Linked DNA regions of Bombyx mori. The protein of the gene in region 2 interacts with the protein of the main gene of each other region in a pairwise test. Links are inferred from orthologs where the notes say so. Each region holds a gene or a part of one and is shown on either strand. Other genes may lie near its edges. The genes, in order: cytoplasmic dynein 2 light intermediate chain 1 and phosphorylated adapter RNA export protein.

Evidence for each region.
Region 1: the proteins of phosphorylated adapter RNA export protein (region 2) and cytoplasmic dynein 2 light intermediate chain 1 interact in a two-hybrid assay, tested with the Drosophila melanogaster proteins (2 studies listed by BioGRID). The link is inferred for Bombyx mori from reciprocal best matches to the Drosophila melanogaster genes Phax and CG3769.

What each region holds. Positions count from the first base shown.
Region 1 is NC_085118.1:10,604,200-10,608,493, forward strand, and holds the start of cytoplasmic dynein 2 light intermediate chain 1, read right to left. Parts: upstream 2,883-4,294; 5' UTR 2,743-2,882; coding exon 2,638-2,742; exon of another isoform or gene 2,634-2,637; intron 2,042-2,633; coding exon 1,687-2,041; intron 587-1,686; coding exon 336-586; intron 1-335.
Region 2 is NC_085125.1:10,882,374-10,886,772, reverse strand, and holds the start of phosphorylated adapter RNA export protein, read right to left. Parts: upstream 2,937-4,399; 5' UTR 1,003-2,936; coding exon 940-1,002; intron 1-939. Other genes in the region: probable beta-hexosaminidase fdl, read left to right, coding at 3,449-3,522, 3,610-4,399.

The DNA.
Region 1 (4,294 bases), on a different chromosome or scaffold from region 2:
AGTGAAAGAGTGATGGTTTAGGGGAGCCTCCTTAGGCTATTGCAAAAGTACCAATCTCTTTATGATAAACGAACATTTTCAGGGTTCCGTAGTTTTTATACACTTTTGCTCTATTCTAATTGTTAAGTACATTTAGGTACTCGTAAAAAATCTGTATTCAAACCCAATGTTTTGTTAACAAAGCTTTTTGAATTATGCCTTTCGCTCATTTAAACTCGTCTTTTTTTTCCACATGTTGGCTGGACGAGTTCACGGCCCACCTGGTATTAAATGGTTACCGGAGCCCATAAACATCTATAACGCAAAGTACTCTAAATATGAAATTATTGACTAACCTCATCGAAAGTCGATCTTGCCACCCCAATATTTTCCCAGGTATCTGCCCCTTTATTTATAAAAAGTGGTTTTGTAGGATTTGTTTGTTTGTCTTTGATAGAAATCCCATTCTCAAAACCAATACTGTTAAAAATGTCTTTAGCTCGTTTAACTAACATCGATTCTTTGGATGAATAAAACATTAAATGCGCGTCATTAAGTAGTGCCACACTTCTAAGAGTACTGCAGACAATCTTTTTAGCTTCTGTATCTAAAAACATAATTATTTTTAAAAATTCAGTCTTTTTTGTGGCTTGGTATATTCCAGCTGTTTTCGAAGCCAAAAAAGTGTATAATGTTCTTGATTCCTTAGCTAGAAACAATATTAAACTCTTTTGAGACTGACTACCCAAATCCAAGTGGGTGACTGCAATGGCATTGTAATGTCTATAGGATCCGGTAACTATTTAACATCGTGCGTGCCGTTTAGCTGTTCGTATAGCCACTGAATGCTGTAACGCAAAAATAATGTTCAAAAGTTAATTAGTGAAATAGTAACGTTTCTTAAATAATTATGGTCAAATAATATACACGGGACATACAGAATGGTTTATGACATCACAAACATAACTTAATGGCATGCAAGAGCGATAGCGATATATTCCCACTAATCTTCTTTATAGGTACCTATAGGTATCGATCCTTTTGCGTGTTATCAAAACTTTGTCCAGTAGAAGTGAAGTATTATTTTAAGGAAAAAAGGTTTCTACAATATTAAAGAAATTTATTTAAATTAGTGGACTGTCCCAGGAAACAAGACCCAGTTTATTGTAGTATAATGACATTAACCTTGACTTGAGGCGAAATTATGTCGTTGAACTATAAAGTTCACTATGAAGTCGTTGTAGCCTAAAGGATAAGCCGGTGCATTTGTATCTTGCAATGCACCGAATTCCGCGGCAGGTACCAATTTTTCTAATGAAATACATACATAACATATGTTCACGATTGACTTCCGCGGTGAGGGAATAACATCGTGTGATAAAAATCTAACCCGCAAAATTATAATTTGCGTAATTACTGGTGGTAGGACGTCTTGTGAGTCCGCGCGGGTAGGTACCACCACCTATTGCCACCACCTGCCTATTTCTGCCGTGAAGCAGTAATGCGTTTCGATTTGAAGGGTGGGGCAGCCGTTGTACTATAAAAACTGACACCTTAGAAATAATATCTAAAGGGAGGTGACGGAATTTATATTGTAAATGTCTATAGACTCCCGGTAACCACTTAACACGAGGAGGTCCGTGAGCTCATCCACCAATTAAAAAAATATTTAAAAAAATGGTTAATATTAGAATAAAGTGCACTAACCAAAATTCTTAAACAGGTCATATTTTCCACACAAAATAATCAAATTTGTTACACAGTTATCGGATATAGATTGTGTTTCATTAATTGCATGAAGACATATTTCGATGGTTTGCAATAAGGTCTTCGGTTTACTCAGATCAACCATTATACAATAATAGTAATTCTTCGTTTTAGGCAGCACAGGCAAAACATTCTTTAACATGTCTAATTTTCCACCGTATTCCCAAATATGACACACGTTTTTATCAATTGCTTGCTTAAGATTTGTTTTTCTTCCAAATGAATATTCTAACACAAGAGTGTTCCGTGGAGTTTCTAATTTTTCCAAAAACATATGAAGCAGTGTTGATTTACCCTAGAATAGTATTGTAAACGTACACTATTTACCTAAGGTTTTTTTATTGCCCATGTAGGCAGACGAGCATACGGCCCGCCTGATGGTTCGTGGTTACCGTCGCTCATGGACGTCAGCAATGCCAGGGGCAGAGCCAAGCCGCTGCCCCTACCGTTTAATACTCTCCATAAGCCTCGTTTGAAGAAAGTATTTTGTAATATCAGTAGTGTATTTAGTAGTGTATAGTAGTATTTTGTAATATCATTTTGTAATCTCCTTTCTATCCTAAATAAAAGCATATTCTTAGCTTATGAAAAAATCATTAATTTATTGATATTCATTTCTAAACGTGTGAATGTTCAACATTTATAGTGTTTACTTAATGTAACTACAAACAAATTTTTTAAGGCAGTTCGATGTACATAATATCATGTAATTAATATAGTATATATTAAATAAAGATCAATACATGTGTGATTGACTCTAAACTTGGTGCCTTGGAGTTGTTACTTTAAGGAAGGTTCTGTTATTACGTACGGTAACGCTATCGATAAATAGCGGGCGAGAGAAAATAAGACGCACCAAAAATAAAATTTCATACTATTCAGCTTACCCACCACGTTTTTACTGCCTGCTAAGAAAATAGTCCGAGAATTGATTTCGTCTAATTGCTGCTCCTGTGTGTCTATAATTTGTGCTGCTCTCTCCGGTATAGACAACATTTTATAACGAATTTATTTAAAATATATTTGATTTCCTATTTGTTGCTTTACTTCTAAAGATATCACGGTACACCCAATTATTTATATTGATTGCTTGTTGAAAATATATTTGTTGTTATGTTGTTGCTAAGCAATGAGACTCGAGTACAATTAAGTGTATAATCTATGCTCGAGTATAAAGGTTTTAAATCAATAAAATGGCAGACAGTCTCACGGCCCAACTGGTGTTAAGTGGTTACCATAGAGCCCATAGACATCAACAACCTAAACGCTGTATCAGGTACAACGGCTGCTCCACCCTTAAGGGCCTTATCCATAGTAGCGGTTTGCGAGCGACTGCGGGGCGGAGCGGATGCGCCGTGAACCCGCCGCGACGGCACATCGAGAACGTCGCGGACGCGTGGGGGATACGCAAAATTTTGTAGCGAATTGACGACGTACAATACACTCAGTAATAAAATGGATTCCTTTTTTTTTTTTCTACTTAAGCTGATAAGCCTTGAGAGGCTATTTCAGCGTAACCGTGGCTAGTAGGTGAGCTCACGGGGCTTAAACCTGACGACGACGACGATGCTAACACGAACCCTAGCAAGAGCCGTGCTTCGCAGAATCTACCACCGGATCGGAAACGCGACCCACTGAGAAGATCCGGCGAGAAACTCAGTGGTCTGTATCTGAGAGTTAATTTACTCGTCGAGCCCTTCGTCGCAAGCGACGGGTTCGACGAGAACGGTGACCGGTGCTTGAAGTACCTAAAAGCACCGTTAGTGGATCGGGAGGATCCGAGATGACGTGTTTTGGGCGACGTCGACTGCTTTCCATTCTGTCCGCAGGATCGGGAATGTAGTTACCGGCGGCCACGATGAGAGGGTTCTCGTGTCGTGCCGCTTTATCGAAGTGGCGCATCGACGCCGACTGAAGATACTTACTGATGGACTCTAAGTCCAGGTCGTCATGGAGGTCGACGTTCCTGACGAACCACGGGGCTCCGACGGCTATCGTGTAAAAACGGGATTGAATAATTTGGAAAGATTTTAAGTGAGTGCGGGCCGCGTGAGCGAACACTACACTTGCATAGGTCATGACGGGGCGTATGCAAGTTTTGTAGAGTGTCACCTTATTTCTAAGGGACATTTTACTTCGCCTGCATATCATCGGGTAGAGACGTCCTAGAATGAAGGCGGCACGGTCGCGTACCGTCTTGATGTGAGGGCGGAATGTCATCCTACTGTCGAGGGTGACGCCTAAATATTTGACCTTCGGGGCCCACGGTATGGGCTGGTCGAACATCGTGATTGGGCGAATGGCGGAGGTGTCGACGCGCCTAGTCGGGAGAGGGATGCTCAGCGTGGTGTTCGGAGGGCGACACCTTTTGAAGAGCACCGCTGTGGTTTTTGTGGGGTTGATGTCGATGCGCCACTTCCGGAACCACTGTCCCATGGTGGTAGCTGCGGTCTGAAGTCGTCGATGAAACAACGCCTTCTTCCTACACGAGTAGTAGATGGCGGTGTCATCGGCGAAGAGTGCCAGATACAAACTGAATAGTAACGGG
Region 2 (4,399 bases):
ACAACAAAATGACGACAATATATAGAAAAAATAATTGAAAAGAATTATATTGGTTTATTCTTCAAATTGTGTACTTGACATTCATAAAACAACAACAAATGTTGATTGATCTTTTTCCACATAAAGTTTCTGTAGTAAAATTATGAAGATGAAAATAACATAGTACAGCAAAAAAAAATTTTTTGCCTTTTCAGGCTTTTCAGGCATGCGGTCCACAGTCACTCATGGGCGTTACCAATGCCAGGGATAGAGCCAAGCTGCCCACCGTTGAGCACTTTCCGCGAGCCTCCTCTGAAGAAGAACATGTCTAGCACTTGGGAAACACCGTGGTGGGGAAGCTTATTCCAAGCCAGATGGTACTTTGAGTATTTTCTTCCCCTTTTTTTTTGTTTTGGTCACTTAACACCAGGTGGGTCGTAAGTTCATTTACATTACTACATCTTAATGTTTCTGGGCAGATACAGCAAACAGGTTCAAGTTAAGTGCTGGGTTTTTAGAGCAACTTAAGTTATTGTTAGCTTATTTTATGAAGGTAAGAATTGCGATATTTGTACGATATTAAAAATAAAAAAGGTTTGTTTTTAAAAAAAATTGACCTTTTTTACCATTCTCAAAAGACTATTTTTGACATGACGTGTTTTAGCTGTATCTTTTTAGAGTGGTTTCACAACCAAGAATGTAATACTAAGTGTTCCTAACACATTTTTCTTAAAAACGATAGGTCAAAAATATTACTTTTGGCCAACATCTTTTGTTTATAAGAAACGTTGAATGTTTTCAAAAGCGAAACAATTATCAAATACTGGGTATACCAAAACATGATCTGTTTAATGTTCCAAAACAATATTCGTAGATTACTTTGGGGTTCTTGAAAATATTGTATATTTTACAACGCAGAAAAATACACGAAAATTTGAAGGAATTATTACAAAAGCTCACCTCCCCCTCTTCGCGCTCGCTTGTTGGATCAAAGTCTATTTCCACTTCTGTTGTCGACATCATCTTGATGTGATTGATTTAGCACCAGAATGTCATTTATCATTAAGGTATTATAATGAAACTCATACACAAATACTAGTCGGCTAATTGCAAAATTTTTAGCACTTTTGTCTTTTTGTATTTAACATAGTCATAGATAGCAAACTTTGGTATAGAGTATAGTTTTCAGTAATTTTTTTTTTAAATGGTTTTATGACCTGGTTACTGAGACCTTTAAGTCATGTCTTATTTTTAATTTATATTCTTATTTTTATGAAAAATGATAATATGGAGTGATATGAAATGAAGATGATTAATTTGAGATATTAATCTATTGGGATGAAATGACATGATATGGGATGAAACATAATCTTAGTAAAATGGTGGTCATTTACTGAGATTTTTTCAGTGGACTTTTTGGAGGATCCCGAGAAGTTACGTCCAGAGGCTTTGTTTCATTTTCCCACATTTGTGCACTTTCACAGATATTAAACAGTTAATAAACCACCATTATTACACATTTAAACCCGAAGAAACACTAAATAGACAAAATAAAACAAATCACACAACTTCACTCCTCGCGTTCCCGCCAAAAAGTCCCCTAGTTTTCGGTATTCACTGCAGTGCTGCCAGACAAGATTTATATTTTACAGCGTTTTATTATTTAAATAAAATATACGGTATATTCTAGTTAAATACTGCACTTTTACAGGTAAATAAATATACCTTTATGTTCTGAAAATCACATGTATTAATTAAAAATAAAATAAATCATTCTCTGTCTAACATAAAGCAGTTTCATTTTTATTAATTTTAACTATGAAAGCCTTATAGCTTGGTTTAAAATTTAAGCAACCGGTAAGGGCGTGTTAAAAATTTCACTTGATTGTTTATTTAAGCAACCGATTCATTTTCTTTCTTTTGATGCCATTTCTTGCGCTAACCTTTCGTCATGTTCTACGTTTGAATTTCATAGTCTTGAGATGCTGAACATGAAGTTTGCTAAGTTCATAAAATCCTCATCCTCGAGATTTCGGACGTTTGCTAAAACCAATGCAACTATCGGGGATCAGTTCAGTACTTCGTTGTATCTACTGGATCGGAATCGAGATCCACTGAGATGATTCGGCGAGAAACTCAGTGCCTTGTGTCTGCGGGTCAATGCCCCGATGATGTGGGCCCAAAATATTATTTTTTACGGCGCAGAATTTTGTTTTGATTTTCTTTGCTATCTCGGAATCTGGAAACATTTTTGGCAAAAAGTCAACTAGAAGATCTATAGTTTTGAGATATTCTATGCTCAGTAATACAACCTCATCATCTTAGGTCTTACAGCCCAGGGTGGGACTTAGCCTGGTCCAGTATGTCTCTGCAGACTGCTCTGTTCAGGGCTTTCTCCTTCCAGTTCCTGACACCGATAACTTTGAGGTCGCACTCCACGCCATCCAACCATCGGAGTTTGGGTATGCCACGACTTCTGCGGCCCTCTGATTTGCCATAGAGCAGTTGTCTTGGCATTCTGGTATTCTCCATTCGAACCACATGTCCTGCCCATCGTAGGCGTTCAATTTTTATAGTTGTTATGATATTAGGATCCTTGTAAATATCACACAACTCGTGGTTATAGCGCATCCTCCATATCTCGTTTTCCTAGTAATACAACTTGCTAGCTTTATTTTCGCGGTTTAAGGCATTGATACTAAAGACGTTGACGACATTTAAAATACGCTTGCCGTAGAAGTTTTAAAAATATCTTAGTTCTTGGATTATTGATGAACTTAGGCTTTTCAATGCCCTCATGTCGGCATTCATCGATGTATTGCACAATAGGCACGATAGGGATATCGTGAATCACGTCGCAACCATTCTAAAATATTCATACCGTAACAACTAATCCTGGAATTGTTGTTTGTAATTTATTTTGTTTTAGAAGTAGAGGGTTGTATCTCACTTTGATGAACAGATATTTTTATTTACTCAACTTGTTTTTCATACATTGCATTTTTAAAAACGTAGTAGAAAGTAAAATCAAAAAAATTATAGTGAATCTTCTGTAATTACAGTGCATATGGCAAAACTCAGTCGCTGTCTTAGACATAGACTTGATTTGATTTTATGAATTAGCAGACCAAAGAGATTATTGTCTACACGGGCAATTTGCTTTAAAAAAAGGCTAAACTTATGGCTATTGTATGAAAATGAAATAAAATAATTTGAATTTATTTAATTTATATGGAATTAAATTGAATGAATTAAATAACGGAAAATAATATAAATTAAATAATATTTATCTTTAAAATTTACAGAAAAAAAAAAAATTTGATTTACAAGGTTGCACGTTGTTTGACTTTTGGAATTTGATGTTGCTATTCTTTATATTGGCACTGCACAACAATACAATTTATACCACAATGTTTATTAAATTATGTTAAATATTAAATAATGTTTCCAGGAAGGAATATTTTGTGGAATGATACTTGTATCGAGATACTATCTAGTACTTGGATTGCAAATTCTTGTCACATTTTCCAATTGTAGTTTCAGGTTAGTTTAAAATATTTAAATCCAATAGTTATTTCATTAATATTAAAAGAAACTTGGCTACATATTAAAAAATAATGTATGTTTAAGCAGGAGCAAAAATCCTTTATGGACTTGGGAATGTATTAATGAAAAATGTGTACCATCTCGTCCCGATCCCACGAATAAATTACAATCTCTGGAAACATGTAACATGTTGTGTGCAGGAGGTCAAATTTGGCCTCAACCAAGGGGAGCGATCAGCCTTTCCACAACCGCTGTGCCAGTACACGCTGACTCTTTCAGATTGAAAATATTATTAACTCCATCCCGTACGGTTCAAGAATATCTACAAGAGTCCTTTGAATTATTTCGGGAAGATGTTAAAAGACTCGAACAGTCAGCATTTGGTTTCGAAGAGCGGCGAAGTGTACTCGTCCGGATTGCCATAAATGGTAGTGAAGATCCACGAATGCGTATAGATACTGAAGAAAACTACAAACTTGTAATTCGCCCTAATTCCGATGACGGTTTGATGCTCGTAGATATATCTGCATCTACGTTCTGTGGTGCACGTCATGGCTTAGAAACTTTAATACAATTAATATGGTTTGATCCTTACGTCGCATCACTGTTTATGCTAGAAGCTGCATCAGTTGACGATTCGCCTCGATTCAAATACCGGGGGCTGTTATTAGACACAGCGCGTAATTATTTTCCGGTTCGTGATCTCATGCGAACTATTGATGGTATGGCCATTTCTAAGCTTAACACCTTTCACTGGCATGTAACCGATACCCAAGCATTCCCTTTACAATTAGACAGTGTAAAACATTTATCAAAACGAGGAGCCTACAGTCTGAGAGATGTTTACACAAAAGATGACGTCAGAGCATTAGTG